4 linked regions of the Coturnix japonica genome follow. The protein of the gene in region 2 interacts with the protein of the main gene of each other region in a biochemical or structural test. Links are inferred from orthologs where the notes say so. Each region holds a gene or a part of one and is shown on either strand. Other genes may lie near its edges.

Region 1 (7,183 bases), on a different chromosome or scaffold from region 2:
ATGTGTGTTAGGCTATATGTTGCGTGGATACTGCAGTTATCTATTTCTGAGCCCTTTTAAGGGCAGGACTGCAACTTTCCACACTGGTATATTGAAAATTGTTCATAGGGTCTTTGGTTAAATATTCTGGTGCAGACATGATGCAGCTTTTGCTTAATGCAACAATATGTTTCATTGTTGTTTTTGTATGGTAGAAATTTTAAATATTTGTGTCTGTGATAACACACAATCCTCCCAAAATAATTCATGACATTAAAAAGAAATTGCATAGAAAGAGCACTGAGGTTGCACAGGACACGTTCAGAAATCAGCTCTGTGTGCATACACTTCTATCTCCCCTCTTCTGCACAGCTATTATGCTTTAACGTTTTATTACGTGTCAAGGTAGTATTTCTGAAATAGTATGCACATCAGATAATGCTTTAAATAAAAAGTTAAAGTCTATTTTGTAGTGTACATAAGAAGCGGGCACTTCATATGGCAGACAGGCTCACATTAATTCTCAGATTATGCAGCATAATATGAGACAATGCTTCTTCTGTGTATTACTGAAGCACGAAATGAATCTATAAGAGTGACCGACCTTAAACTCGTAACTGCCATTCATTTCAGACTGTGTAGCCCAGCAGACAGGCTGTTGAGAGCTTTACTTGCTTGCTGTTTTGTGAGTCTCTGCAGAGGCACATTCAACCACTCTATGCAAACAGGCACACACTCTCTTTTTTTTCCTCTCACACTCTGGCATATTTTCAGAATAACTCTTCGAAGACTTTCTGAACTTCTGGGTATGATTGTCTATTATTATTATTATTTTTTTTTTTTACTGGGAATGTGTTTAGTCCAGTGTTATTTAAACAGGCTTATCTCTTTGATCAAAGTCTAGAATCTGAAATTTGAACAGGGTAGGGAGGGTGGTGGGGAGGGTGAGGAAATCTATCAAGTACATTTTTATGTGTGTGCTGCTGTCTTAGCTGCATGTCAGTAGAGGTACGAATATATATTACTTGTGTAATCTTGGAAATATAAGTGACTGCTTTTTAACAGAAGTTCTAAAACACCATATTATTACTAAGGTAAAAAAGATTATAGTAAACTTTTCTAGAAGCTATTAGTGACCTATACATTCAGTTTTCTGGTTTCTTGCATTTTTTCAAAGGTTGCATTGAATAACTGTGGAGTTGTTTAGTGTAGGCTTTGCTCGTATTCAAATCATACTAACTCAAGTCCATATATTAATGTGTTTAGGGTCAACATTAACCTGTTTAACTGAGTGAATTGCAGACCACAACAATGATGCTAGAGAAATTGGGACGGTTTCTGAAGGTTTTCATTTAGCTGGTTCAGGAGATGTGGTTTGTGAAAAGTTAAAATTATTTGGGATGAGATTGCAAGATGAGGTATGCATGCCACACCTTTTCATTATGTCCTTTCTCCACCTTTTTTTTTTTTTTTTTTTTTTTTTCCCCTAAAGATAACTTTGAGAATTATTTCAGTTTACTTTAACACTGATTCCAATCAAGTACTTTATTTTCAAGTTGATAGCAAAATCTAAGCTTGCTGAGCTTTTGTTTGTGGGAATAGAAAAAAATAAAATAAAAAATCCTGTATTCCTTTTTTGTGCGCTGAAATCTTTCTTCCTAGTTTCTAAGGTCTTACCATGGCAAAGTCTGAAAGATGCTTTGCTTCATTGTTTTACAAGGTAAAACAGAAACAGACAGGAATTTATGGGCTAATCTAAATTTTTTCCTCACTTTTTTTAATGTAAATTTTCACTTCACTAGTTTGGGTCACTGTTACTGATAAAGCTTGTTATAAACCTTTTGTCCTACACAAATCTTTTACATTCTTTAATTTCTGTTAGCTAGTTTTGTTGACAGAGACTTGTTACACACACAGATGCATGCGCTTGCACATGCATTTTGCTTTGCCATATCTCAGTTACAGCATAGTCCTATCCAGGGTCATTACAATGTACACATTACATATTTCTAGCAAACATGAAAATGAATCAAACAGGGAGAGATAAGCACAGATAGATTGGAGCCTGCTGAGGAAATAAAAGGCAGTAATCTGGCTGACCACTGGACTAGTCTTTCTGGTCTGATTTCAGCGTCCTTTCCCGTTAGCTGCTGTGGAGTGCTGGCTGCCCTGCAGTGAAAAATTAAATGACTAGCAAGAATAAAGTAACATTTAGTGGGACAATTGTTTGGTGTACCTCCAAAACTAATTGTTTCTGAAGTGATGTTTAAATCAGCGTCGGCACAAGGCAAGAGCCCCTGGCTTGCAGCCAGCACCTTGTAACGCATATTAGAGCAGATGAGGAGTTCTCAAAAGTTAGAGGGAGAGGGAGAATGTGCCTTTCCAGTGCTCACCCTGCATTTGTTTGTATACTCCTCCTCGCCGAGATCAGAGGAATACCTGTGTAGTGCTGCTTTAACATGATTTCTGCTGAGCCTCAGAATAGGTTCTGGTGTTTTTTTTAGGTGGACTGCCAGCTGCCGATCTTGCTGTTGACAGTAAAAGCAGATATGTTCCTTGCTCCCTGCCATTAGCAATGACCATGACCCTTCACACCAAAGCCTCTGGAGTTACCCTGCTGCACCAGATTCAAGGCACTGAACTGGAGACTCTGAGCAGACCTCAGCTGAAGATTCCCCTGGAACGATCGCTCAGCGACATGTACGTGGAAAGCAACAAGACAGGAGTTTTTAACTACCCAGAAGGGGCCACCTACGATTTTGGTACTACCGCTCCAGTGTACGGCTCTACTACACTCAGTTATGCCCCTACTTCTGAATCTTTTGGGTCCAGCAGCCTGGCAGGATTTCACTCTCTGAACAATGTCCCACCAAGCCCAGTGGTGTTCTTGCAAACGGCACCCCAGCTCTCACCCTTCATCCATCACCACAGCCAGCAGGTACCCTACTACCTTGAAAACGAACAGGGCAGCTTCGGGATGAGGGAAACTGCTCCTCCAGCCTTCTACAGGTAAGTGCAACAGAGAATTTCTCTTTCTTCTTTAAGCAGCTATGCTGAGAAATCAGAATATTGAAATATGTCTGCCCTACACTTTCATTTTTGTGTAAAGGACTGTGTAATCTTGTGGAATCTTCCATGATATCGGGACCATAAAAATAGCAGAGGATAAAACAAAACTGTAACTCACAGCTTACTGTGCCTGTGATCTGTAAATAATGAAAACTGTAAGTAAATGGGAAACAAATTAGATAATGAGTGTAAATGTTTCCTGGGAAAACATGAAATCATAATTGATTAAGGAGTGGCAAACAATCTCCTTGTTGCAGTATATTAAAATTACTGTCTAGAAGCATACTGAAAATGTGCAATTGGCTGTTTGTTCAGCTCTTAGCTGCTAGTAAGAGTATTACTTACCTCTGGTATCCTTTACAGGATAAGTGACTTATATAGGAAGTAGTTCACAGGCACAATATCCTTCCAAATCAAACTGTTTGAACTGATTCAATGACAGTATTTCAGTCAGCAACCACTTTAATGAGCTGCAATAAGAGCTATGTGCCTTGCATTTTTAATCAAACTTTGATATATATTAAGCATAAATCTAGCATGCTGCATTTCAAAATAATTTTTATAAATTTAAATATGATTTCTTTTTAAATTTATATTTATCCTTCAATAGAAGAATTTTAATACGCACTGGAAATTGTGAAAGCATATACTTAATTTCTGACATATGTGTGAGAAACTGATAGAACTGTAGCTTCCAGGAAAATATAATCAAACACACCAGTACTCACATTGTTAATCTTTGTGCACTGTTAATAGCTTAATTTTTTACTGGCATATAATAATGGACTATAGCAAATTAAAGTGAACGGTTAGCTCCTAAATGCTGTCCATGTCAGCTTATTTGTGAAATACAGGTGATTTTTATACAAATGGAGAGACCCTCTAAAAATAAAACCAGGTTATCCTTTCCCTGTCGAGGCCAGACTTAACTGTTGCTGGGAACAGCAATGTAGGTTATTAAACACAGTGTCACGCAACCTGAGATAATCTTGTAGCAGAATCTGATCCAAAAAAACAGATGGTGATTGCACTTTTTGCAAATGATTAATCGGTTTTGGGGATCAAGTGGAATAAAGACAAGTGAAAAGATAACGGTTAGGCCAGGCAGCCCAACTAATATGTCTCTTAGCTGAACTGATTCAGACAAAATGTATTTTAGAGCAACTGAAGGCAATAACTCTAGGAGGAATTAATGTACTTGAACATTGAGTATCTGGATTGTTTAACAGTGATGTGGGTGTGAAAGTGTGTTTTGCACTAGATTCCATGTTGTTTTTATTTTATTTTTATTTTTATTTTTTTTTTATTTTTCAATATGATTATCCAGGGCAAAACTCTGTTAGAAAGCGTTTAAGGGACATGTGGTGTGTAAACAGCTGAACAGTGAGTTTGTGAAGCTGAAATGCACATGCAGGAAATGGGCTAAAGTGAGGGCTTTTTACTTGAGGAGGGAGAAAAACCAAGAATCAGTTGGAAATGAAAACTGAACTGTGGAAATGGCATTATTTTATTTTCTAACAGTGAGCGGAGGTGGGACACTTCAAAATAAAAATGGCATACATTGTAGTAGTAACATTCAGGCACTGCAACAAGCATTAAAGGGCAGCGGTGTATTCCCATTGTCCTGATGTTTTCAGTCAAGGATAGGCATGTCCTTTCAAGATGCATTTTAGATGTATATAATATATGAGGCTTAAAGCAGTGGAAATTAGGTGAATGTATGATCTTGGTTGTGCAGGTGGTTTATCCGAATACAGAGTTACAAGACTGATTTAATGGCCTCTTCTGGCCTTGATTCTGTATTGCACATTTGACATGGTAATAGGAAATGTGGAACAAAGTCCTCCCCATGATTATCGTCTGTTACGAGGCATAGTACTGTTAGGATTAAATAGACAAAGCTTTGCTGTTTAAAAATTTCACAAAGACCATATTTGGGAAGTTGTCATATTGACAAAATTAAATGTTAGGTTCTTATTCTTGTATACCAGTTATAAATAGTATGCTAGAAATATTCTAAATAGGTGTTCGGTGTCTGGGAGACATCTCATTATCTAATCATGAGGTACAAGAGCAAGTTCTTTCAAAAATTTTAGTGCATTATTTTCCAATTTGCTTTATTCATTTGTCTGTTCCAATCCCACCTGAATTCAAAAGAGAACATAAGGCAGTGTAATCTGGCAACAAACACATAGATTTTGGAGATTTGAAGATGTCTAAGTAACAAAATGATGAATTTCTGATGTAACATACTAGTATGAGTGGTAAAGGCGTAAAAAACTAAAACCAAAGCCATACAAAAATTTAAATTCTATCATGATCAGTTTATGATCGCTTTCTTGCTGTGATAATAAGTAATATAACCAGAGTCTCAAAAAGCCCCCTTGAAAATTCTTATTTGCCCTTTTGGTGCAGCAGTTGTGCTGTTTAGCTTGCAATACTGTAAAGTTTGAATTGCATCCTCCTGTTATACACTGGATTTGAGATGCAAAATAGTGCATTCTCTGATACAAGTGACTAGGACAATAAATATTCACTGTAGATTGGTGCGTGCTGAAATTGTATTTAGCATATACCCAGATAAAATGCTCAAAGTATTCAGTCACAAAAATAAAAATATTTCACATGTAATAAGGAAAATTTTTAATGTTGTTGCATTTAGTTAAAAGCATTGAAAATCACGCTATTAACACGTACTAATTTACACATGCGTATTAATACTAAAGTTACATTTTATTTCTTTCAAATTGTGTTTTAATTTCAAAAGACTTTATTTCTTATTGCAAGATAATGACAGACTTCTATGTCCAGCTGTAGAACATAACAGTACATAGAGAAAAGAACAAATGTTGTAAATAATAATAATTAAAAAACATAGCACCGGTCTCTTTCTTACTGTGCTTTCTAAATCACAGGTCATCCGAACTTGAGATAAGAGAATGGGTTTAATTAATTCATATTGTGCTGTCTTTAGCCTGACTTTTTTTTTTTTTTTTATATCTGACCTTGTGGCTGGTTTTATAGGGAGCCAAATTAAAATACCTTTCCCTTATCTTACAGTGTCTGTATCTTTTCGCAAGGGGGAGAAGGTACAGCACTAGTAACGTTTTTAATTCTCTTCATATCTTACATATATTTTATTTTCTCCAATACCTTTTTTTAGTAGTGGTTTTATTAAAGGCAGTTTAGTCGTTGATTATTATTACAGGAAATCCTGCACTCGTGGGTACTGTAGTAAACTAATTGAAAGATTTCTTTTGTTCTTAACTATTACGTTTGGGTTCTGGTCAAATTATTTCCTTATCCTTTTTGTCAGGCTTTTGTTCATTCATGGAAATACCATGAAGGCATTCAGTACCTAATTTACCTTCGTATATTCCTATAACAACATCGAAGATGAATTTTGTTGTTCTTCCAGTGTGCAATGCTTGAGTGTTATCCCACTGAGTCTGCACATCTCAAATAAAATTCTGTCTGTATTTCAGGCTCTCTGTAGCCTTTGGTGCTGCTTCCAAATCTGACTGAAACCCATGTGAAATGAGGTGGCTCTTACCAGCTACCTGATGAGGGAGCTTTTTGTTTTTAGTGAGTGACAGAGATGAAAAGTCAGCATACAAGCAGAAATATTAGATGAAAAATCGTTAGTTACTTCCTCTAGTACCTCAAGCTCTGGAATTAGATTCAGATAGTAATTTATTTAGCTTAACTCCTCATTATCACATACATATGTCTCTTCTGCATTTCATAAACGTGTTTGTTTTTTTTTATTTCAACCTTACCTGACTCATTATGAGTTTTTATAGCTGCTCATACTGAATTTTAAATAATGAGGATTTTCTCAAATTTTAAAATTAAAAGAATGATAGAATGAATAGAAAAATCAAAGGACAGTGAGTTTAGGTGTTTGGTTTTTTGTTTTTGTTTTTTTTTTTTGGTTTTTTTTTTTAGTTTTTTAATTTTTATTTTTTGTTCATAATGAAGTATGAATTATTCCAGAACATGAAGGAATACTGTGCATGATAAAGTTGCTTTTCTCTAAAGCAACAATCTGTTCTCAGGTCCTCGTCAAGCATCAGTGAGGTGTGATATTTGACCAGAGTTTCCTCAACATTCAGTGTTTTTGTTTTCAGAGACT
Region 2 (7,416 bases):
GGTAGATTTTACTTAACAGCTTCCAGGAAGCTGAAAACAGTGCATCTCTCACAGTGAGGACAGAGGCTGTAACTCAACTGCCCCATGGACAACAAAATACCTCAAGGGAAAAGCTTTAAGAGTAAAGGCTCAACTCAAGAAACCCCCAAGGAATAGAGACCTGCTGCTCACAAGCACATCCTGGAGCAGCCTCCTTCCACACAGCTCATATTTGGAGCAGAGGATGCAGCACAGTGCAGAGCAGTTCTATAGTTATTACATTCCAGGTCGCATCTTAATTGCCATGGAGCTACAACCAAAGCTCCGCAGCACCCATGGTGACAACAGGAAACTCACTTAACAGAATCCAAAGCTAGAAAGAAAAAACATTAGACCACATATTTGTGTATGTAACAGGAAGATTAATGAGCATCTGAAATAAAACAGAGTCAACACAGCCTTCAAATAATAGTTTCCTTCTGTAACAAGATTACTATCTAAAGAAAGACAAAATGTAGATGATTTCTACCTGTTTTTTCCAGAATGCCCCAATTTCAGAAGGGAAAGTAGTAACTCTAGTACTGAGAAAGGAAAAGTTTAAGCTGAAAAGATGGAGTTTACATGCGCTCATCTAATTCAGGGAGAGAGGAAAGAAAAAAAGTCAGTTCAGAAAGAGCAAAACACACAGAATACAAACAAACCTCCTAAAGAGTGAGATCAGATTTCCACACGCAGCAAACAGATAAGGGGTTCCAGCAGAGGTGAACACATTCCTCCCATTGAGCTGCACAGCACTGAGGAGCATCCGGGCCCTGTGCTGCACAGAGCTCCCCCCCTGCCAGGGGGCCACCTCCAGAGGTGAGTGTAACTCAATCCCCGGGGCTCGCTCTGTCCCTGGCCACTGCTGGGAGCCAACATGGATGCTGCTCAGTGCCAGCCAGGAGGTGTTTCCTCAAGGCTGAGCACCACTGCAGGAAACAGCAACGAACCTGACCCAGAGTGATTACACACCGTGCTGCCAAATCATGGCACTGCTCCAGAGCAGGCCCAATCCAGATGCAGAATAGGGTTAACACCCAGCCACCCCAATGCATCCTTTCCCCCCCCCCAGTCCCTCCCCCAGTCCCCAAGAGGAAGAAGTCACAGTGGAGAGCACACACCTGGCTATGGGGCTTCGGCTCACGGAACGCTTGGCAGCAAAAGGGCTGCTGGAGCGCCTTCGGCTGTAGGGACTCGGTGAGCGCCCGCTGTACGATCCACTCCCCCTCTCATAGCTCGACGAGCGCCTCCTATTATAGGGGCTTATGGACCTCTGCCTCCGGCTGTAGGGACTGGGAGACCGTGTGTTGGACTGGTAGGCCACGGGTTCCTTGTAGGGTGGGCTGATGGACTGCCGGCGTGACGAGCCGCCGGGGCTCTTCCTATAGGGATCGTAGGTACTGGACGTATGAGAGCGGGGCGGGCTGAGGTCATACTCCTGGACGTAGGAAGCTCCAGAAGGGCTGTCATCCAATTTTGGGCTGTCCAACCATTTTCTATGGGGACTTCTAGATTTCCGTTTCGGACTGTCAATGGTTTTATAACTTTTGGGAGCATCCCTTTTCCGATGGCTTTTACTTCGCTCTTTGTGGCTGGACTTGAGCTCCCGATCCTTCCTGGACTTTTCCTTGTGCGCTTTGGCTGAGCGGGATTCCTTGTTGCTGCTCTTTGAGGACGGGGCCTTCGGGTGCTCCTCGCTTTCAAGCAGTCTCTTAGAGGACCCCGATACCCTGTCCTTGGTAGACCCGGACCTGCTGGAGGCCTCCAGGCTCTTTTCCAACTTCCTCTCTTTCTCTGCCTGTTTGCTCTTCATCAGCTCACGGATACGTTTGTGCTGGTGGTGTCGATGTTTCTGCGTCCTTTCGCTCCTATCCGCTTTCCTCTCCTCATTCTCCCTCCTGTCCAACTTAAGGGCCAAATCATCCGAGAACGTATCCGAATCCGAACTGATATCATCGTATTCCACCAACGGTTTGATCACAGCTCCCAGAGGCGCCGCCGTCTCTTGGGCGGCCAACGGTGACTCCTTGGAGTGCCGGGATTTATGCCTCTTATGCCTTGAAGCCACCCGGTGCCTCTCCTTGCTATTGGAGCTGCCCGATGAGTGCAGCGAGGTCCCCCCGCCGCCCCCATCCTTCTTCCCCCCATGTCTCTCTTGGTTTGGCATTCCTCCTCCTCCACTGTGCTGGGACAGGGGGAGGCGGGGGCGCTCCTCCAAATCCTCCTCGACTTTCCAACTCCCTCAGCCTCCCTCTATTCGAACCATTCACCGCCCCCCGGCACCTCCTGCTGCATGGGGAGCGGGACGGAGAGAGCGAGGAGGAAGGGAACAACGGGGAGAGGGAGAATGGGAAAGGAACGGAACCGGGAGCGGCGGGGAAGGACACCGGGCCTCAGCGCCTCATCCGAGGGGCCCAGGCCCGGAGGGCAGCGCCGCCGCGGGGGGAGCCCCGGGAAGGCGGGAGCTGGGCCCACGATCCCTCCCGGTCCCGTTGTGTCCGGTTCCCTCCCGCCCTGTCCCAACCCTCAGTACCGGGTTCCCACCGTGCGGCCCCGTTCGGTCCCCGCCGCCCCGGCCCGGCCCAGCGCCCCCCGCTCACTTCCCAAAGCGAAACGGCTCCTCGGCCCAAGGGGGGCACCCGCCAAGTCTCGCGAGATAACTGCTGCTTCTCGCGAGACTCGGCCTGAGCCCTCCCCCCGCGAGATTTCAAGCGCTGAGAATTGGGAAGGCGGAAGGGAGTGCGCGCGCGCGCACCGTCTTCTCGCGAGGTCTGAGAACGAACTTTACTCCGTCCCGGGGAGCGCACGAAGCCCCGCCCCTTCCGCCCGCTCAGCACCAATCAGCATCCAGGGGGCGGGGCTTGAGCGCAACGCCCCGCCCCCTAATCACTCCCCCTTCTCACCATGACTCCCTACCTCTCGCGAGACTCAGAAGTTCTCGCGAGAAGCGGGAGCCGCGGCCGGAGGGATGGCGGCGGGCGCCGCCGTGTGAGGCCGGAGCGGAGCGGCCCGGCCGCGGTTTATCCCCATCCCTTCCCGTTTATCGACGTGATACCGGCCCTGTGGCTCCGCCGCGGGCCGCCCCTCCCCTCCCTGAGGCATGAAGGCGGTGCCGGGAGGCGCTGAGGGTGAGTGCGGCCTAGCGGGGCTGCGCTGTGTGGAGGCGGAGGGAAGGCCCGGCCTCCTCGGGATGGGGGGGGTTCCACAGCTCGAGGGACGGCGGTTGGGCCTGCAGGGAACGGCGGAGCCCGGCCGTGGGGTCCCAGTGGGTCTCTATGGGGTCTCTATGGGTCCCTATGGGTCCCTATGGGTCCCTATGGGGTCTCTATGGGTCCCTATGGGTCTCTATGGGTCCCTATGGGTCTCTATGGGATCTCTATGGGTCCCTATGGGTCTCTATGGGGTCTCTATGTGTCCCTATGGGTCCATACTCACCATGTGTGGGTCGTCGGGTCCCCTCCCCACTTTGGGTCTCTATGGATCCCTATGGGTCCCAGTGGGTTTCTATGGGTCTGAATGGGCTTCAATGGGGTCCCCATGGGTCTCAATGGGTCTCAAAGCTGGGCATTAAGCAGCTCCAGAGCGGGGCTGTGGTGGATGGAAATAAAGGCTGATGGGCTCCTGTGGTAGCGAACCGTTCGGTTGTTTGTTCTGCTTTGATTTGATGGGGTTGGCATTAAGTCCATGACATCTGTGTGTATCAGTTTATAAACCCTTCTGATTCTATAGGCCTTGTAGGGTCATGTTCTATGGCAGTTATGTTGCCATAGACTTGTGTTGGAGCCAGAAATACCTGGTATCAGGGAGATGCCTTCCATAACAATGTAACTTAATAAAGTGCTACAATGAGTTTTAGAGCCCCACAATGTATAGATTGGATTCAGCACACATTTATAAAGGCTGAGTGTGTCCCGGCTTGGAAGGGCTGTGCAATCAGCTCACGTTCTCTTTTGTTTCTATGTTTTCATTCCGCTTTGTCTGACAGAGGCAGAGAAGCTGAATAAGATGAGTGCTCTCTTAGAAAGACTTCATGCAAAGTACAACCAAAACAGACCTTGGACTGAAACCATGAAGCTGGTCCGTCAAGTCATGGTGAGAAGTGCTGGGGTTTCCTTTACAGTGATGCTCAACACTCAGTGTTATCTCAGTCAGATGCAGCTTTGAAATACCTTGGTGAGGGTAGAAAGGAGTGGGAGGCAGGGAAGAGCATCATCAAAAGCTGCTGTATGTGTTGTGGTGTTAAAGTTAATCTCTCTTTGTTTCTCTTGCTCCTCTCATATAACTCGTAGCTTATGCTATTTAAGAAGTTGTTGCAGTCTGATCTTTCACAAGAGCAAGCTTAATAATCAATTCCAGACCTGCCTGTTTTACCCACTGCAAATATGGATATGATTCTGGTACAGGAATCGCAATGAGGGTGTAATTTGGGGATGAAATCCAATCTGCCTTTAATTACCTGAATAAACCTCACTCGACTGAATGAAAATTGCAGTAATTTTCCTCTCATGGAGTGAAACTTTAAAACGACTGTTTTTCTTCTTTCTGACGTAGGAAAAACGACTTGTGATGAACTCTGGGGGGCACCAACATCTGGTGAGCTGTTTGGAGACCTTGCAAAAAGCATTAAAAGGTTGGTACGTGCTGTGCCTGCACTCAGGAAATGCTTAACAGTGATATACTATGGAAATACTCTGTATTAGAGGAACCTGCGAGGTTATTGCTTGCAAAGCTCAGTGTGCTCGTGGTGCTTATAGAAGCATGCTTATTTCTTGTGAGTCATTATCAGCCAAAATTGCCTGTGTTGCTTTTATTCTTATTGCCCATACATGGATTCCACTTGTGGATGAAAATCCACACTGAGAATGTTTGTTTTTCTCTATGCAAAACGATTCTTGTTTTTTGAGTATGGAGTGGGTGTGAGTAAGTAGTTGGGATTGCTTTTAATGCTGATACATCATTACTGGAAAGATGTTCAGTCGTATCACTAAGGCTTATTTTTGCTTTCTTTGTCTAGTGTCTTCTCTGCCTGCCATGACAGATCGCCTGGAGTCCATAGCCAGACAAAATGGGTACATCTTCTCCTTTGTTTCACAGCAGTTTTGTATCTCCTACTTATCTGTATACATCATAATTTTGCTGCTGGTTTGACTGTTTCTTGTGTGTATCTCTTAGTAATTTTTGCTTTGTTTTGTATTTAAGCCTTGGATCACACCTCAGTGCAAATGGCACCGAATGTTACATCACTTCAGACATGTTCTATGTGGAAGTCCAGTTAGATCCTACAGGGCTGCTATGTGATGTCAAGGTGGCTCACCATGGAGAGAATCCTGTGGTACGTATTGCTAAGAAATACAAGAAAAATACCTTTGTTTTTGGAACTGCAGTTTTGCTTCCCTTTTTCTTGTGCAGAGAAAATGGATTGTACTGAACATTCCCCCAAACCTAATGTTATATCTGCTTGTTCTGCTGCTTCTGAAAGTTTCATTTCTGGGGGAAGAATAGGGAAATTAATCTTGTATTTGTGAGTGTTTTGTTGCTTCTCATCAAAACTGATGCTCACAGACTTCACTGTCCTGATATTTTACAGCTGCTGTGCTGCACAAAGACTTACACTGAAGCATTTGATGTTGATTTTGCTGTGTGTTCTTTCCTTTTCAGAGCTGTCCAGAATTGGTGCAACATCTGAGGTGAGCAACAAGAGCTGTTGCATCATTCTGATTTTGGTCTGATTCTGTTTTATGCTTGGAAACACAGAACGTTTCTGAACTGCTCTTTCCCCATGAAGTCTCTCCCCTTCTCCAGGAGATCTTCTGGCTTTGCTTCAGATGTTTCTCACCCTAACTGCTGTGCATGTTATCTTGGAAGGCACAGCAAAGCGTTCACCAGAATCATTAAAGCTGGATCATTTAAAGAACGCATTGTTTAGCTTTCATATAGCAAAAACCTATTCTGAAGTGATTTAGTGTTTGTATTAGTGTAACCTCTAAAAACAAAGCCTTATCTACAACAGATCTGAATACATTTCTCTCTTTTACTTTCAGAGAGAAAAATTTTGATGAGTTTTCTAAGCATCTGCGGGGGCTTGTGAACCTCTATAAGTTGCCAGGAGACAAGTAAGTCTAGAATATGCAATGTATTTACAACTGCGTGTATGAAAGCGAACAAGACTTCAAGCCTTTTAATTTTTCTTATGGTTTCTTCCTTTTTTTTCCTTATTCCCAGCAAACTCAAAACTAAAATGTACTTGGCCCTTCAGTCCTTGGAGCTGGATCTCTCAAAAATGGCAGGGATGTATTGGTAAGCACATTGTTACCATTTGCTGCTTGCTTTGTGGTGGTTGAGTTGCTGTATCACGTTGCCTGGTTGTTAATCATGCCAAGCACTGTATATCCATGAAGTATTGTACCAGTGCCTATGTATTGGCACTGTATTGTATTACACTGTTGCTAAAAAGTACAAGTCTGAAGTCTAAGAAAGGCTGTGCTAGCAGAGGAGAGCGGTAAGAGGAGATCTTCAGACTTCCATCAGCACATGAGTTGTGGCTTCAGATGTGGTTTTGGCTCATTACAAACTGGTGATGGCCTCTCTTGCAGGCAAGCCACCAATGCAAACCCACTGGACAAGATTCTTCATGGCAGTGTTGGCTATCTCACCCCCAGGAGCGGAGGTATCTTTGGTTAACACTTAAGAAAGAAAGGAAAAGATGATTTTGTCCAGGGTCCCCTTTATCGATATTAACCAATGATAATAATGAAAAATGCTAATCATAGAGGGACAGGGTGGTGGAAGATTTGTAAGTCCCACATGATCTAGAAAGCTGGTTCTCCTTTACAAAGCCATGCATAGCAATACTGTGCCAGTTGGCCATGTCCAGTCTTTGACAGCTCTTTCAAGGTGCTGTAGAAGCTCTGTGCAGAGTTACAGTGCATATGTTATGTGCTTACAGGGGTTAATAACGATTGGGTTCAATTACATCATCCAGATGCTTGTTCATAAGCCTCTCTCCTTCAGGTCTCCTTATGAATCTCAAGTATTACGTCTCTCCCTATGACTTATTTGAAGATGGCACTGGAGCCCCTGTTATTTTGCACGAGAGCAATGGTAGGTCACTTGTGAAAGCCACTGCGGACTACTCTGCTACATGGAGAAACTGATGTATTTCCACTTGGGATAATTTGTAAAGCTTTGGTTTTTATTCATCAGCTTACCTTGTTCTTTGTTTCTTGCCTTGTCTTGCAGTTCCTCGATCTTTGGGTATGAACGTGTCAGTGACAGTTGAGGGAACCATGGCGATGTACAAACTTCCCATTGCGCCGCTGATTATGGGTTCTCATCCAGTGGACAGCAAAGGGTGAGCAAAGGGCCTGTCAGCCAGGCCTGTCTTTGGTCTTATTTAGA
Region 3 (7,193 bases), on a different chromosome or scaffold from region 2:
CCCCTTTAACCTGAATTGTCCTTTGGTCACACAGCACTCAATTGTGGAGGAGCCCTGTGAGAGGCTCACCCACCTCAGACCAGGAGCTAGCAAGCACGGTATACCCAATGGTATCCTTACCATAAACACCACATTAAATATTCTATTCCCGATCCTCATCTACTGATAAGTACAGGTCTTATTTTCAGGGAATTCCCTTTCGCTTTGGATTAGTTTGCCAAAGATATAAAGTGGAATTTGTGTCATGAGGTGCTATAGTGGAAAAAGACAGAAGGATTTATCGCTCAGCTGATAAAAATCAAATATTCACTTAGCACAGAAGGCTGCACGCCCTGGGGCTGTAATGGCTCCTCTGCAGCCACCTCCTGGCATAGCTGGAGGATACAGAAAACATCTCTATCCCAAAGCATCTGCGGCACATCGTGATCCTATTAACTACTATAGGGTGCGGTGACATTGGCAAGCTGACCCCAAAAGCCACCATGTGGGGATGTGGGACAGAGACATCCAGCAGCTCAGTTTCCAGGCAGGGTCTCTGTGCCATGAGCCCATCCCCAGGGCAAAGGAAGTGCGTAGTGTCCTTCACCCCAGTGCTGAGACAAGGGTTTTGTGAGGGGGCACCAGTAGCAAGAAAATAATAGCCCACATAAACCCACAGATGGAAAACTCTGCATCCCTGCCTCGTGAGCCACTAATGCTCCCCAAACTTCCCCGCTCCTTATCTGCCTCTCCTGCACACAGTGCCTCTCCGTCTTCTGTTCCTGGCTCTCTTAACCCTTCCCACCCTTAGGAGCAAATGGCCTTATTTTGTCAGCAGGCTATTGAAGCAAAAGGGTTGTTTTGCTGAATGGAGCAAAACGGGCCATGCTTTTATGGTATTTTACTAGACACTGTGGCAAATCCTGCACATATTTGACCAAGTGTCTGTAGCATTTATCTAATCAAAGGGATCACTGTGGCCCAAGCAGGGCTGGGACGGAGGTCCCTGGGATGAGGCCACCTCGGGGCTGTGCTCTGTCTCACCACCTCCACCCTGGTGCACATCGTTACTGCAATTTTGGCTCAGGGCTGTTGCTGCTACAGGGGAGAACCACTGACTGCATGAGAATAGAGGTGCTATTTTCCCAGCAGAAGATGATCACTTACTGCCAACCCCAATTAAGATATCAGGAGCTTTTCCTTGCTCTCTGTTTTGCTCCTTGGCTGTAAGGTAAAAGCACTCCCTGGAAGCGGTACATGATGGGAGGCGAGGACTGCCTGAATAATCCTCAGTGCTCCTAAACGTGATCAGCAAATCACTGCACCAACAGCACGTTTCACTGTGGGGCCACGGACCTCAGGGCCACACTGTGGCTAGGAGGGGTTGGGGAGTCAGGGCTGTGCTGGTGCACTGAGAAGCACAAACACAAGCAAGTTTGGAGCCCAAATTGGCAGCGTGTGGACTCGGTCACCTGGTGCTGATTGTGAAATCAAGGGGATGTTTTCAATGCAGAGCGAGCTGATGCTGAATCATTAATTGCTTGTTTTCCCGTGCCATCCAGACGACGCCGTTGGGTAATCAATTAAATCTTGCATTGTCATGTGGTGCAAATTGCACTGAAACTTGTCAGCCCTGCAGAGGAAAAGCAGGGGGCCCAGAGAGTTCCTGGGGTGGGCAGGGGGGAAGCAGGAGCCCTGCTACTCAGTGGGGTCCTGACACAACACCTTGGTGATGCCAGCAGGCGTGATGCAGCGGAGAGCTCTGCTTGGCTGAATTCATAGAAGGAAAAATCATGCTGCAGAGTCAAGCCCTGCTGCACCATAAAACACCCAATGAAACTTTTAAGAGGCCAAAGCCAGGCCAGGGTGTGTGTGACAGCAGGCAGCCCATTGCCAGGACAGAGCAGCCTGGCTGTGCCCAGCGCACCCAACCAGCCCCACTCGTCCCTTCACTATCCCTTCTGTTGCGTGCCTGGCACTCAGGCAAACCCTCACCCCAAAGGTTGTTTGGGCACAGCTCAGGAGCGGGACCTGTTTATAGGGCATTCAGCCCCTGTAAAACTGGGTTTATAGGGAAGTAAAATGAGTCCTACGTTGTTACTTTGCATAGCAACGTGTAAATCGCAATGTGGGTGCTGACCTTCCCTGGGAGGGAAAGGGAGAGGAAGGGAAATGCTTTGGGAGGGAGGGAGAGAGAGAAAGGAGGGATCAGGAGTGAAGGCAAAGAGGGGAACGCAGAGGTAGGAGTGGGGCACAGCCTTGTTTCCCAGGCAGGGATTTTTCCAGCCTTCCCAGCACTGGTGCAGCCCAGCACCAAGGTCAACAGCCCCACAAAGGTGTTCCCTGAGTGGTGAGTGCTTCTCCCCGTGTGTTCCTGGGAGCTGGGATCAGCACAGCGCCTCGAGATGCAATCATAAACAGTCAACAAGAATCACTGCAGCTCCACCAAAAAGAAAAAAAAAAAGCCAAGCCAACAGCCAGGCAGCAGCGTTAGCCAAGTCAACAGCTACAGCCACCCAGCGTTAGCAGTGGGTGAGATGATTAAAGATTAACCCCCTGCCTCCACCCCTCTGAGGAGTATAGGTCTTGAGGCTCAGCAAATCCTTTCAGAGAAATATTTGAAATAAAAGACAACAGATAGGGGACGCAGTGAAGGCACAGAGAGGCAGAAGGGCCAATAGCCTCGGACAAGGGAATCGGCACAATCTGGCCCGTGTTTGCCGATGATAATGCGCCTTTCCAAAGCCCTGATAGACATGGAGATGGCCGATTATAGCGCAGCGCTGGACCCGGCGTACACCACCCTGGAGTTTGAGAACATGCAGGTGCTGGCCATGGGCAGCGGTAAGTCCCCTCCGGTGGCGACGGGACGATGCATCCCCAGGGTGGTCACTGAATGGACTGAGGAGGGTGGGGGGCACGGTGGGGATCCTGCTGCCCCCAGAGGGAAAGCGAGGTGCCAGAGAGGTGCCCTGGAGCCTCGGGAATGGGATTTGTGGTTCTCAGCAGCCTTCAGACTGAGCTGAGGGCAGAGGGGTCTTGTCAGTCCTGGGCTCCCACAGAAAGGAATAAAAGAACCAAGAAGTGCCAACAAACTGCTACCTGTGGCTCAGCAGAAAGCCAGCCCTGTTCTGTAAGAGCAGCTGGAGCTGAATCTTCCCAACAGCAGAAAGCTGCTTGGTGCATGGCCAGGGTGCAAATCATCCCAAAATGCCACCCAAGGGCTGCTCTGAGGCCATGGCCCCGCAGTGCTGCTGTTCAGGGGGAGCACGGGGCCTGCAGTGCTGCAGGGCTAAGGGGGGGACCCGGCTGGAAGGGAGACAGCAGCCCTGGTTAGGGGGAGATGGGCTCCCTCAGCAAGGTGGGATCACACTGAACCTGCTAGAATTTGCAATAGTGGCCCATCCAGTGCAGCGCCAGCAGCACAGCTTTCCTCAGGATGAAACTCTGCTCCCCATGAAACTGAAGCTGCACATCTCCCTGCCCAGGGCTGGCCCTACATGCCCCAAAGCCACTCCTTAGCCCCACCAGTGAGCAGCTGAACCTTTGGGACAAGGCACAGCTCCACTCCCAGCAGGGAGAAGCCAGGGGACCTGCCCTGCACAGGGGCTGTGAGCTGGGTTCTGCTACATCTGGGGGTCCTACAGGACTGGCCCAGGCACAGTGTCACATCCCACAGCCTATGGGCAGATGAGCCAGCTGGGTTATGGGGCATTGGCTCTGTGCTGCATGTGCCCAGCACCTGGCAAGAGGCAGGTACCACACAAATTAAATATAACTCCAAATGAATGGCCATTAAACTCACTTCACCACAGCAGCCAGAAGTCCATGTTTCTGGCATTATAAAAGTAAGCTTAACTGGAAAGTTATCCATTAAGAAATTGTTCTATTTCTGGTCAGCTCTTAGATCAAGAGGGTGAGATTTCTTTGGTAACTTCCTTACCTGTTTGCAGCATGATACACACACTGCTAGAGGAGATTTATGTGAACCATCACAGATGAGCATAGTGATTGGGTATGGGTTGGCTCTGTTTTCCTCTCTTGCAAAGCTCCACATTTCAATGGAACTGAAAACCTAACATTCTTCCTGGAAGAAGCATCATCCAGCATCACCCAGCTGAGCCCTTGGAACGCAGTCAGAGGAAGGACCTGGGAGGAAAGCTGCTCGCTCTGCCCTGCAGGACTGAGGGACACATGGGCCCGGCACTGAGGAGCAGAGGAAGGAGCCTCCAGAGCTGGCACAGGAACACAGCTCCTCAACCCTGCAGTACAGCAGGGTGTGCCGGGCCTGGAGAGAGCAAACTGTGACTCAGGAGAGCAATAGAGGAAAGATGTGAGGAATTAGAAAGAAAGCAGGCAGGGAAGTGAGAGCTGCTGAAAGAGCTGGTGGAGATGCCCTGCATGAGCTCACTGCTGGGATCACAGCAGGCACCCCAGGTCACTTGTACCCACACATCTACATCAAGGGGCAGCATGAGGAGGTTGTGTACATCCTGCTGCAGAGCCCACTTCAACCCATTTCCTGCTAAGCAGAAACTAAAGTTGAAGCCCTACACCTGATGTACTTACCTTAACCCTCTACAACTCACAGTTCCCAGTCAGCAAAGGCACCCCCCATATCCTGGGACCAGCCCTCTCAGAGCATTTATCCTTCTGCAGCCCCTCTCTGATGGGAGCCAGGTGGGAGCAAATGCGGCCCTCCTGGGTAAGTGTTAATTGCATCCCTGCCAAACCCAATGGGGGTGTGGGGAAGGAGAAGGTGAGAGGGGAGATGAGGAGCACTGAGCTGTTCCCCATAGCCTTGGGGAGGTCAGTGCTCACCCCTCAAAGTGACTGCCAGGCCCTCAGAAATGCAAGGTGAATGTTCTCTGGGAGCCCTGTTGGTTGTACAATGCCCACCTCTGTGCTATGGGATGCAGGCTGGGTCACGAGCAGTGCCTGAGAGGTCCTCCTTGCTATTCTGTCATCCTCTGACCCTCTGTTGGCCTGCTGATCTCCACTGCTGTCCTTTGAGAGGGCTGTTAGGATTGACATATTCCGGTGTTAAAGTCTCAGTAGGTTTCTATGGCTTTGTAGATCCTAGGTGTATCATTTGCAAACGGGATTTCCTCTGAGTCCCATGCTGATACAAGAAAATGTGCTTGGGAGGGGACAATTAGATCAACTGAATAGTGAGCTGATCCCTTCAGCCTTGGGGTTTGTTTGGCTTGCCGGAGGGATTTTAGTCTAGGGCTTGTATGGTTTTGAGCCTTTCAGGTGTTCTCTCCTACACAGGCTGCTGCAATTCCCCACCCTCCCAAAAACACACTACACATACCAGTCCCCTTACAGCTTGTAAGGACTGCAGGGTGCATCTCACATCCCATACTCTGGAAGGTACCCAGCATACAGCCTTCGCCATGTTATAGTGCTGTCCTTTCTTTCTGGGTTGTCCCAGTCAGTCCCTCCTCACATGGTGGGTATTTGTCCATGAGTTCTCCAGCTGAAGCCATATGCAATTATTGTGCACTAACAGCCTCTTGAAGCCTCTTTCAGTGCAGTAACACCAACACTTCGCTATCAAACCAGCAGCTCACCCCAAGCTGTAAAACCTCAGCTCAAACTGCACCAACTCGTTCTCTGGCCATACTGCAGAGGCCCAAAGCATCTGCAAATCCCCCAGGAATTTTGGCTGTGCTTTGTGACAGCTGCAAACGGGTTTCTGTGTATCCTGAAGGCATTGCTGGAGTCGGGCCTTTGGGAAGAGCTGCTCACCCTGGCGCAGCAGCAGCATTAGCACATTCGAGATGCAAAGACTTGGGACACCCGGAGCACCCACCACTTCTTATGACCTGCTGCAGCTGCCCAGTTCTTTGGTAACTTGCTGGAAAAGGAGTTAGGAGTTGTCAGCTGTCTGTCTCACTGTGTTCTTGCTGTGTCCTTTCCCAAGCAGACACATCTCCATCAGAAGCAGCCAACCTCAACACTTCCAACAGCATTGGGGTGAGCGCACTGTGTGCCATCTGCGGGGACCGTGCCACAGGGAAGCACTATGGGGCTTCCAGCTGCGATGGCTGCAAAGGCTTCTTCAGGAGGAGTGTGAGGAAGAACCACATGTACTCCTGCAGGTAAGGGCAGAGGGGAACAAAACAGCACCCAGCAGCTGTGCAGCAAAGCTGAGTGCTGCAGCATGGCCCTTCATCTCCTCTGTATCCTCCAGTGTCTTCCCTGACCTCATCCTCTGGCGATAAGCTCTGGACTTAGTGCATGTGAAGCACACGGCTGCTTGCAAGGCAGGGCTGTTTAGGCTGTCTGTCCAAGAAGACCCCTCCCCACAGCTCTAGTGGGAAAAGCCAAGGCTCCCAGTTCTCCTGACACCAGATCTTTTATGACAGTGCTTAAAGATCTGCTTTCTGGCATCCATTTGAGCAAATCTTAGCTTGGGGCTTTCAAAAGTGTGTTACAAACAGGCCTTCCCAGAGCTACAGAACTCTGCATGGCTGGGAGCCCTTTCATAGATCTGTATGCCTTTGTCTTTGCAAGCTTGATCAATCAGCAGCTAATCAGAGCATATTTGCAAGTGAAATTCATGCTGCAAATGGCTACCAGGCTTATGCTGCATACGGGAGATCAGTGTAATGCACCGTCATCTGCAATCAATGTGGTGATACAAGTGGGTAGGGAAGGAGCTGGGTGCTTGCCATCTCCTCTCTGAAGCACAGGCAGCTCAGAGCTGCTTGTGTGCCAGCGATGCTGTCCAGAGGTCAGCAAGAACCTCCTGGAGCCAACACTGCCTTGGAGAGATGTGGGGACTTCAGCCCACTTCTACCCCTCCCCTCTCCCCCTCCCCTCTCGCAGGCTCAGTCTCACTGCTCCTCACTCCTCTGTTTCTCCCCAGGTTTAACAGGCAGTGTGTGGTAGACAAAGACAAAAGAAACCAGTGCCGATACTGCAGGCTTAAGAAGTGCTTCCGAGCAGGGATGAAGAAGGAAGGTGGGTGCCTTCCCCTCCCTGCCCTCAGCACAGACCAGCCCTCCCTCATGGCAGGACAGGGAGATGCTGGATGTTTCCATGAGCCCCAGGCAGGTCCAGCTGCCCACTTTAAGCCATACAGAGCCCTTGCACTCAGTTAAGCTTCAATCTCAGTTCCAGGGGCCCTATTCAGATGCCAAGAGAGAGCCACCAGCCCATGCCCATGTCCCAGAACTGACCACCCCCCCCCACCTTGTACCCAC
Region 4 (7,284 bases), on a different chromosome or scaffold from region 2:
AGCAGCCACAACTGCTCACACGTTACACTGCTGCCATTTTCTGCAATTAGGCACTAGCTCATTTCCCCTTCAGCTATACAAGAAAGGTAACATGCACGAACACACAAGCGGTGCTGCCAGTGCTGAATTGCCTTAGGAGCCTTGAAATTACTTGCTAGACAGCCACCTAGCGTTAATTACTGCTGCTTGCTAGTTACCAGGAAAGCCACGGTTGCAAAGTTCAGAGAGAAAATTAAGTGAAAAGCAACTAAAAGCAGTCTCTGTAGTTTTGCAGATACATGACAGAATAATTCAGATCTTCACGGAGATAAGAAAAAAAAATCATATTGACAAATTTATTAGTAGTACCAACATTTATTCGAGTTTTCAAACATTAGTTGGCAATTGGACAGGGCTGCTTCTCCAAGAGCCTTCCCTCCTCAGACACCTCCTGTACTTCTGGCTCTTCCACAAACAAACTCCCACTGCAAACACAAGTCCAGGGTCCACACGGGTTAAGGACAGCACATGGTTTTAAGCATACAATGAAAAAGCCAGTTCCAAAGATTAAATCAGTTGTTAGCCTTTCTTTCACTAGACTGCAGAAGTGAGCAGAATTTAAATTCATGCAGTGAATTTCCCAGAATAGCTGAGGACAAACCACCCTCCTCCAGTTCTGCTTGAAACACAGAGAGAGAGAAGCACAGCTCTCATGCCAGGATCTCCCCAGGCAGATTCCACCACACCTGCTGGATTCTTTACATGTCATGGCTTGGGTAGCTGTGATGTAAGTGGCACCAAATTTAGGATAAAAAAATAATCAGGTTGTATTTCCATCCCTTCTGTGGACTGTACTTGATGCTGCTGAACATATGACCTAGCCTAGCTTTGTTTGGGAGAAGATGCTGTTTAGACAACAGAGCTGCAATCAATCCACAAGTCTCCTGCTCTCACCTCACACTCAAGTTCATTGTAATACATCCAATATCTCTCACAGACTGAATAGAAGAGCTTGTTTCTACTGAAAGAAGATGCCTTACTCAAAGTATCACTAACTTAGGCAGCAAAATCCTACACAAATCACAATGCCTGCTGCTCTATATGTTCTCCCTTCCACGCATGATAAAATCACATCTACTATCCTCACATATATTGACTGATTTCCTTTGTGTCTCTTCTGAACCTTCAAAGACTTTCTAGATATTAACTAGCTTTATCTCCTGAGTAAGTTATCCTTGATCTCAGAGACAAGGAAGCACCACCTTTCTAAGTATCTTCTCTCTTCAACTGACTCACAAAAGTAAGAATGTCGCTATTTACCTTTTTGCTTTTTATTTTAATAAATGACATGACTCTGAGTTAGCCATTTCCTTCACCTTTCTTTGGAAGGGGTGGCTGGTAGCAGGAGAAGAAAGTTGATAGGACTTAGGAGTTCTTCATTTCAAACACATACATAAACTCAGAATTAACTAGCTGGAACACTGACTCATTGATTCTCCTTGTTTGTTAATATTTGACTGACTTACAAGCAAAATTTTAACAATTAATGCCTAAAATAATAGAAAATAATAGAAAAACCCTACCCTTGTAACTAAAAGGACTTTGCAGGTGATGTACTGAGAAACACACCCTTACTATGGCAGAAAAATTCAGTTGAGTATTCCTAGAAAGAGCACATGCCTATCACTTGCTTCTTTCTTTCTCTGATAGACTCTTGGCCTGACAGTGGTTCTGCATGTTGAGAATCCTCTGGCTCAGCACTTCTCCATAGGGCCAGGAAAAAGAGACATATCTGCACGTGGACAGTCCATTTCCTCACAAACACTCCACTAGAGAAAAAATATGTGATACCTGGAGGCCATGATACAGTTTTGCTACGTTGAGCATAAATACAGGAGATGTAAAGGAAATGAAAAACATCTGTACAGATGCAATTATTTTCCCCCAATTTGTGCTGTTTTCAGGTCAAGGTTCAATGTCTGCTCAAAGACAGGCTTCAACCAAGAACCTCAGAGCTGTGCTGGAAACTAAGTAATCCTTTCTCCCGCATGCACCTATTACAATCTTGCTTTCTTTCAGGTGTTGGAACACCATTCATTTCTTGTAACAACCGCTAATGTAATACTGAAAGCAAACAGAAATAAAAGAGTCACCACTATAACTATAAATTAAAAAGATGAGCCCCAACAACTTCTCAGAGATTATTTTAGATCATTTGTCCAAATCCTGGACAAATACTGGAGCACGTTACCCACTGGAACAGGTTGCCCAAGGAGGCTGTGGATGCCCCATCCCTGCAGGCATCCAAGGCAAGGCTGGATGTGGCTCTGAGCAGCCTTGTCCAGTGACTGGAAACCCTTCCCACAGCAGGGGGGTTATCACACCCTTAGCTAAATTCTGCATTTTCCTTGTGTAAGACCAGCAGTGTACTCACATATAGTGCATGGACATGTACGCATAGCAACGTACTGCAGAGCAGCAATAGGGAAAATAAGCAAAACTACATGGCACGAGGCTCAGGTGAGTGAAAGCTGAAAGCAGAAGGAAGTCTGACAAATCTTCCCAACAGTTTTGACAAGTATAATGGGTTCCCTAGATCTACCTGTGCCCGTGAACCACATGTTAACACTCATCCTCATTTTATCTGATCCACAGATTAAATTAATTAGCTTTAAAAAGAAGCAACCAATACTCTGAAAGCAGTGACCACCCCTAAGCTGCCAGCTCAGGCCCAAAAAGCATCCTGAGAGCACAGAGAAGAGGCAGTGGTTGCAACTTATCGCATCGGGCTGGGCACTTAGCACAGAGATGCCGAACAACTACGAGCCATGGGCTGACGCTGGACGGGGCCAACAAGAAGCAGACCCCCACGCTGAGCCCTGGGGAGGTCTTATGAAAGGAAAACCTCCCTCCCTCTCGGCAGACCCTGCGAGAAGAGGGTACGTACGCGGAGACGACTTTGCCGCTGAGAACCTCTGCGGGGGCCATGGCGAGGGTGGGAGGGCAGCAGCCAAACGCAGCAGGGATCCGAATCGCTCTGCAGGACACGCCGACCCCCACGTGGGCCCTAAACTTTCATTTGCAACCACAGCGCAAGCGCTGCTCCACCCCGGCGGGCTGCTGTGCTGTGCGTGTCCCTCCCCTGCGTTGTTCACCGCCCTAAGGATGGGGGGAGCAGGGAGTTTCTTAGCGAGATGGGAGCCCCCGAGTTGTTCGGTGCTGGCTTTAGTGCTGCACGGTCCCTGGATGTGCACAGAGGGGGTCTGTGCATAGGGATGGAGAAGCCGCCTTTGCGCTGTGCTTTGTGCTCACGCAAATTGCTGGTCACTTATTAAATAAGTCAGCATACGTATAACTTACAGTATGTTATGGTCTAGGGTTGCAGATGGCTACTATGGGACCCTTCAGACTTTGCTAAGAGTAAATGGTTTTTCATTCAGCCGTTTTATCCCTCAGAAGGATGTCCTCTAAGCAGTGGTGCCGAGGGAGGTGTTTCCTTGTGAGGCTGCTCTGATCTGTGCAGTTCTCCATTTTATATAACCAGTGCTCTGTGTTAACCCACATGTGAACTGTGAAAATCAGCTTTCTGTGCTTTTCTCATGGAGATGGGACGGATTGTTGGATACCATACACTGAGGCTGCATTGCTTGTGATGCCCCCAAGGAGCTGCACAGCTCATTGGTTTGTCTGTAGGATGTGATTCAAGAAAACAGTGATTGGGGACAGGGAACTGACAGAACAGGGCTCTGGGCAACCTGATCTAGTAAAGGTGTATGTTTGGTGGCCCTGCCAGGCAGGGGGGTTGGAACTACATGATCCTTGAGGTCCCTTCCAACCCGGGTCATTCTGTGATTCTGTGAACACAGTTGGTGATGGGATGGAGCAGTACTGTGTTCCCATCCTACTCTAAGGCTTTATTCCTGTTGCTATGTGGTGTCAGTGCAGCAAAGAAACTGGATGATCGCTGCAGGTTCACAAAGTGTGGAGGACAGGGGTTTGATGTTAATACAGAAACAGTCCCAGTGAGAGTTTAGGACTAAAAAAGCCTGTTTGAAGTGCATTTTGGAAATGAAAGTTGCTGGTCTAAAGGGTTTGCTGAGAAAGCATTCAATCCTGCTACAACACTGCATTATGCTTCTCAGTGCTGTAATCGGGTCAAGAATGGATTTGGGGACCTGTCTGATTTTGAGAGGAGTGGAGTACAGCTGTTGCAGTTTCCATCTAGCTCACAATGCAGTGAGGATGGAAATATACAGGCCTTCTGTTTTGGAAGCTGAGAACCTCCAGGGTTGCTTCTCTGTTATTCTGGGAGGGTGATATATACTATATACCATATATTGTTCAAAGCTTGTCTGAGGATAAGTCTTTCCCGTGTGTTTCCTTTTGTAGCATGTAGGGTGATGACTGTTGTGCTTTTTTCTCTGCTTTCTTTTTTTTATTGAGGGGAAAGCTGGTTATTTCAAGTGGTCAAACCAGCTGAAGTTGAAACCATTTCAATTGTAGGAATAAAGGTCAGAAATTTCTCTTTAAAACTGACTTGGAAGAAAGGGAAAACTGCATTCGGGGTTTTTTATGCTAAATTTAAAAAGCTAGAAATAACCTTTTTTTCCCTCCTTTCTATAGTTATTCCTTGTATTTCCTGGGATGTTCCAATAGACAGTTGCAGTGTTACATGATCCAAACTGAGATTATACAATTAACCGAGGGAGGGGATTTTTCTCAGCTGCTTAAAATTCTGTGCCCTGTTTGTTTCTCCTGTTGCTTTTATCTGAGGCCTGAATGAACTCTCGGGGAAGGAAAAAAAAGTGTTCTGGAATAAGTGCTAAAGACTCTTTGAGTTGAGGGTAGTACAGGCAAAAACAACTGCTGCTAACAAAGGTTTGATGCTGAAGATGGTAACATATAAATACCAGTGGGAAAAGAAAGCCCATTTATTTAAACATATTCCAATGGCCTTGTTTGCAGAGTGAGCAAAAAAAAGCTGGTGCCATCAGAAACTGTAGATGCCAACAGTTTGCACATGTCTTTTCTTTTCTCTACTTTTCTTAATGGCCCTGCTCCTGAATAAAAGATGTCTCACAATGACACATAAAATGACCCGGATTGTAAAAGTAATACCAAACTAACAACTTCTTTTATCATCTCTTTTTGTTTGAACCAGATTCTCTTTTCACGAGAAGGAAGAGACTCATGAATTTTAACTATTTATGACAGTAAATCAGACTGGCTGATCTCCTTTTATCATAGCAGAAAAATCTTCTTTATTTCTAACTTGTTCCATGCAGCAGTCAAGTACTGGAGCTGAAATTGTCACTCAGATGCTGTGTGTCATACATTTATGTAAGAACTTGTTCTTTAACTTTTAATTGTCATTTTGAAGTTGAAATACTGGGAGTGAGATGGAAAGGGAACAGAATAAGGGTTATATGATGAGAAATGGCTCAACAGACCTTTTTGGTTCTTGTTAGAGCCATATCCAGCCCTGAAATGGAGGAAAACACTTAAGAGCTGCTGTTCTAAAGGAAATCTTGGAGAAACACAGTGACAAAGGTGTACCAATAGGTACAGCTGAAAGCAGTAATCAGTGTTTTATGCTTTCAATGCAATTATTTTGACCATGCTTATGCAAAACAATAAGGAATAAAAAATCTAATGCTGTGATAAGGACAACTCTGAGAATGATAAGCACAGTCTTGTATCAAAAAAGGCTTATTTTGTGTTGACTGTTAGGATAAAGGTAAAAACAGTTACTTGAAGCCTCAGAGAGGTAGATCTCTGCTCTTGAATGCAGCTCCACAGCAGCTGTTCTACCCCACTCATCTCCCTGCCAGGTGTTCCTAAGTTTGATTTGGTAACTGCCACATTTTGCCTGTTTACTCTTGCATCCACCCCCTCTTACATAACATGTCAAAAGTCACTGAGGTTGCTCTTTTAAAAAAGCCACGAAAGCTGCAAAATGTGTGCCAGAAAGACTTGCAATGTTACTGATGAGCTAAGAGCAGCGCCTCTGCTTGCACAGGGCCCCAGAGGTTGGAATCTGTTATGGGCAACTGACCCCACATCATCAAATTGAGGAGTAATGTTAGTCATTGCTTCACCCACTGGTTAGGACAGGATATCACCTTCAGTATAGGGAGAATAGATTAATTTCATGCATTTTACTTTCTTTAGCAAAGAGGGATTGGACAAATAAGTGATGTTTCTGTAGAATGTAACTTCTTTCCTGTGACGGAGAACACAATTTAGTAATGGGGGAGTGGTAGCATTAACTTCTTTCCTGTGACGGAGAACACAATTTAGTAATGGGGGAGTGGTAGCATTAAGATTTATGCTATTGGTCAACTGTACCTTTGATCAGATGACAGAACTGTTTGACGTGAGGCTTGTGATTGACCTCAGTGTACGTGAGCCCTCATAGCTAAGCTGTGTTATTGTAATGCTAGAAGGTATGATCTAATATTTGTTTCCATCATGAGGTGTTTCTGTAGTGTAGTTAGCCCCTTAAAGTTGAGTGCATCTGTCACAGGCTCCTTTCTGTTGGCTTATTCTCTTGTTGCTCCTTTAGCTAATTCTCTTTAGATACATCGCTTTACCTTCAAACAGAAATCTAACAACACTTCCACTTGATCTCTTAGGAATCCTGCAGAACAAAAATGTCCCATTAGCAGCTTGATGAATTTTGTGTCATACATGATTCTACTGAGAACAGTGCTGGAGTGCTTGATAATGTGGGCCCTGGGTTGTCCTGACTGATGTAAAGAGACAATTCGGAGCAAAGAAAGCATTTCCTTAGTAGTCCTCTCGCATAATAACCATTCCTAATACTTCTACAGCATGTTGTGGCTCTCCATGCAATAAACAGCATCCTAATTCTCTGTCCCAGCCTGACTGTGAGTAATGCATTATCACATTTTCCAGGCAGGTAGATGAGAAAGAAAGAATAATCGATTGTCTAAAGCAAAATATAAGCACAAGCACTAGATTGTCATTTCTAATTCTACCTTATTGTCTTTGGCTAATGATTTATAGTTAATGGCTTGTGGCAAAATTGGATCTTCCCTCCTTTTTGTCAGCTCCTAAATTTCACTAGGTGTCTCTGCACTGTTTTCTATGTAAATTATTGCTATACTGGTTCTGCCTTTCTGAGTGTGGCTGCCACAATGATATTTGGAGCAGGAGGCAGGGGGTGAGAGGTAATTTTCAGAACTGCAAGTGGGGGACATCTGGAAGGCAGTCTTTCCATTGAAGTTTAATACACACAGCATCTCAGATAATTCCTTCAGCCCAAGCAAGGGCATCCCTGGT

Evidence for each region.
Region 1: the proteins of MED1 (region 2) and ESR1 form a complex in vitro, tested with the Homo sapiens proteins (6 studies listed by BioGRID). The link is inferred for Coturnix japonica from reciprocal best matches to the Homo sapiens genes MED1 and ESR1.
Region 3: the proteins of MED1 (region 2) and HNF4A form a complex in vitro, tested with the Homo sapiens proteins (2 studies listed by BioGRID). The link is inferred for Coturnix japonica from reciprocal best matches to the Homo sapiens genes MED1 and HNF4A.
Region 4: the proteins of MED1 (region 2) and ESR2 form a complex in vitro, tested with the Homo sapiens proteins (2 studies listed by BioGRID). The link is inferred for Coturnix japonica from reciprocal best matches to the Homo sapiens genes MED1 and ESR2.

Annotation. Positions count from the first base shown.
Region 1 is NC_029518.1:44,171,346-44,178,528, forward strand, and holds the start of ESR1 (estrogen receptor 1), read left to right. Parts: upstream 1-2,554; coding exon 2,555-2,988; intron 2,989-7,183.
Region 2 is NC_029542.1:3,841,243-3,848,658, reverse strand, and holds the start of MED1 (mediator of RNA polymerase II transcription subunit 1), read left to right. Parts: upstream 1-2,941; 5' UTR 2,942-3,118; coding exon 3,119-3,146; intron 3,147-4,003; coding exon 4,004-4,110; intron 4,111-4,569; coding exon 4,570-4,648; intron 4,649-5,032; coding exon 5,033-5,087; intron 5,088-5,217; coding exon 5,218-5,350; intron 5,351-5,676; coding exon 5,677-5,705; intron 5,706-6,059; coding exon 6,060-6,131; intron 6,132-6,240; coding exon 6,241-6,315; intron 6,316-6,611; coding exon 6,612-6,685; intron 6,686-7,029; coding exon 7,030-7,119; intron 7,120-7,257; coding exon 7,258-7,369; intron 7,370-7,416. Other genes in the region: CDK12 (cyclin-dependent kinase 12), read right to left, coding at 1,140-2,185. UniProt on the Homo sapiens protein: Component of the Mediator complex, a coactivator involved in the regulated transcription of nearly all RNA polymerase II-dependent genes.
Region 3 is NC_029535.1:4,771,952-4,779,144, reverse strand, and holds the start of HNF4A (hepatocyte nuclear factor 4-alpha), read left to right. Parts: upstream 1-2,564; 5' UTR 2,565-2,702; coding exon 2,703-2,823; intron 2,824-5,908; coding exon 5,909-6,086; intron 6,087-6,856; coding exon 6,857-6,951; intron 6,952-7,193. UniProt on the Homo sapiens protein: Transcriptional regulator which controls the expression of hepatic genes during the transition of endodermal cells to hepatic progenitor cells, facilitating the recruitment of RNA pol II to the promoters of target genes. Activates the transcription of CYP2C38.
Region 4 is NC_029520.1:48,167,270-48,174,553, forward strand, and holds the start of ESR2 (estrogen receptor beta), read left to right. Parts: upstream 1-2,655; 5' UTR 2,656-2,918; intron 2,919-2,926; coding exon of another isoform or gene 2,927-2,967; exon of another isoform or gene 2,968-3,079; intron 3,080-7,284. Other genes in the region: MTHFD1 (C-1-tetrahydrofolate synthase, cytoplasmic), read right to left, coding at 2,927-2,967.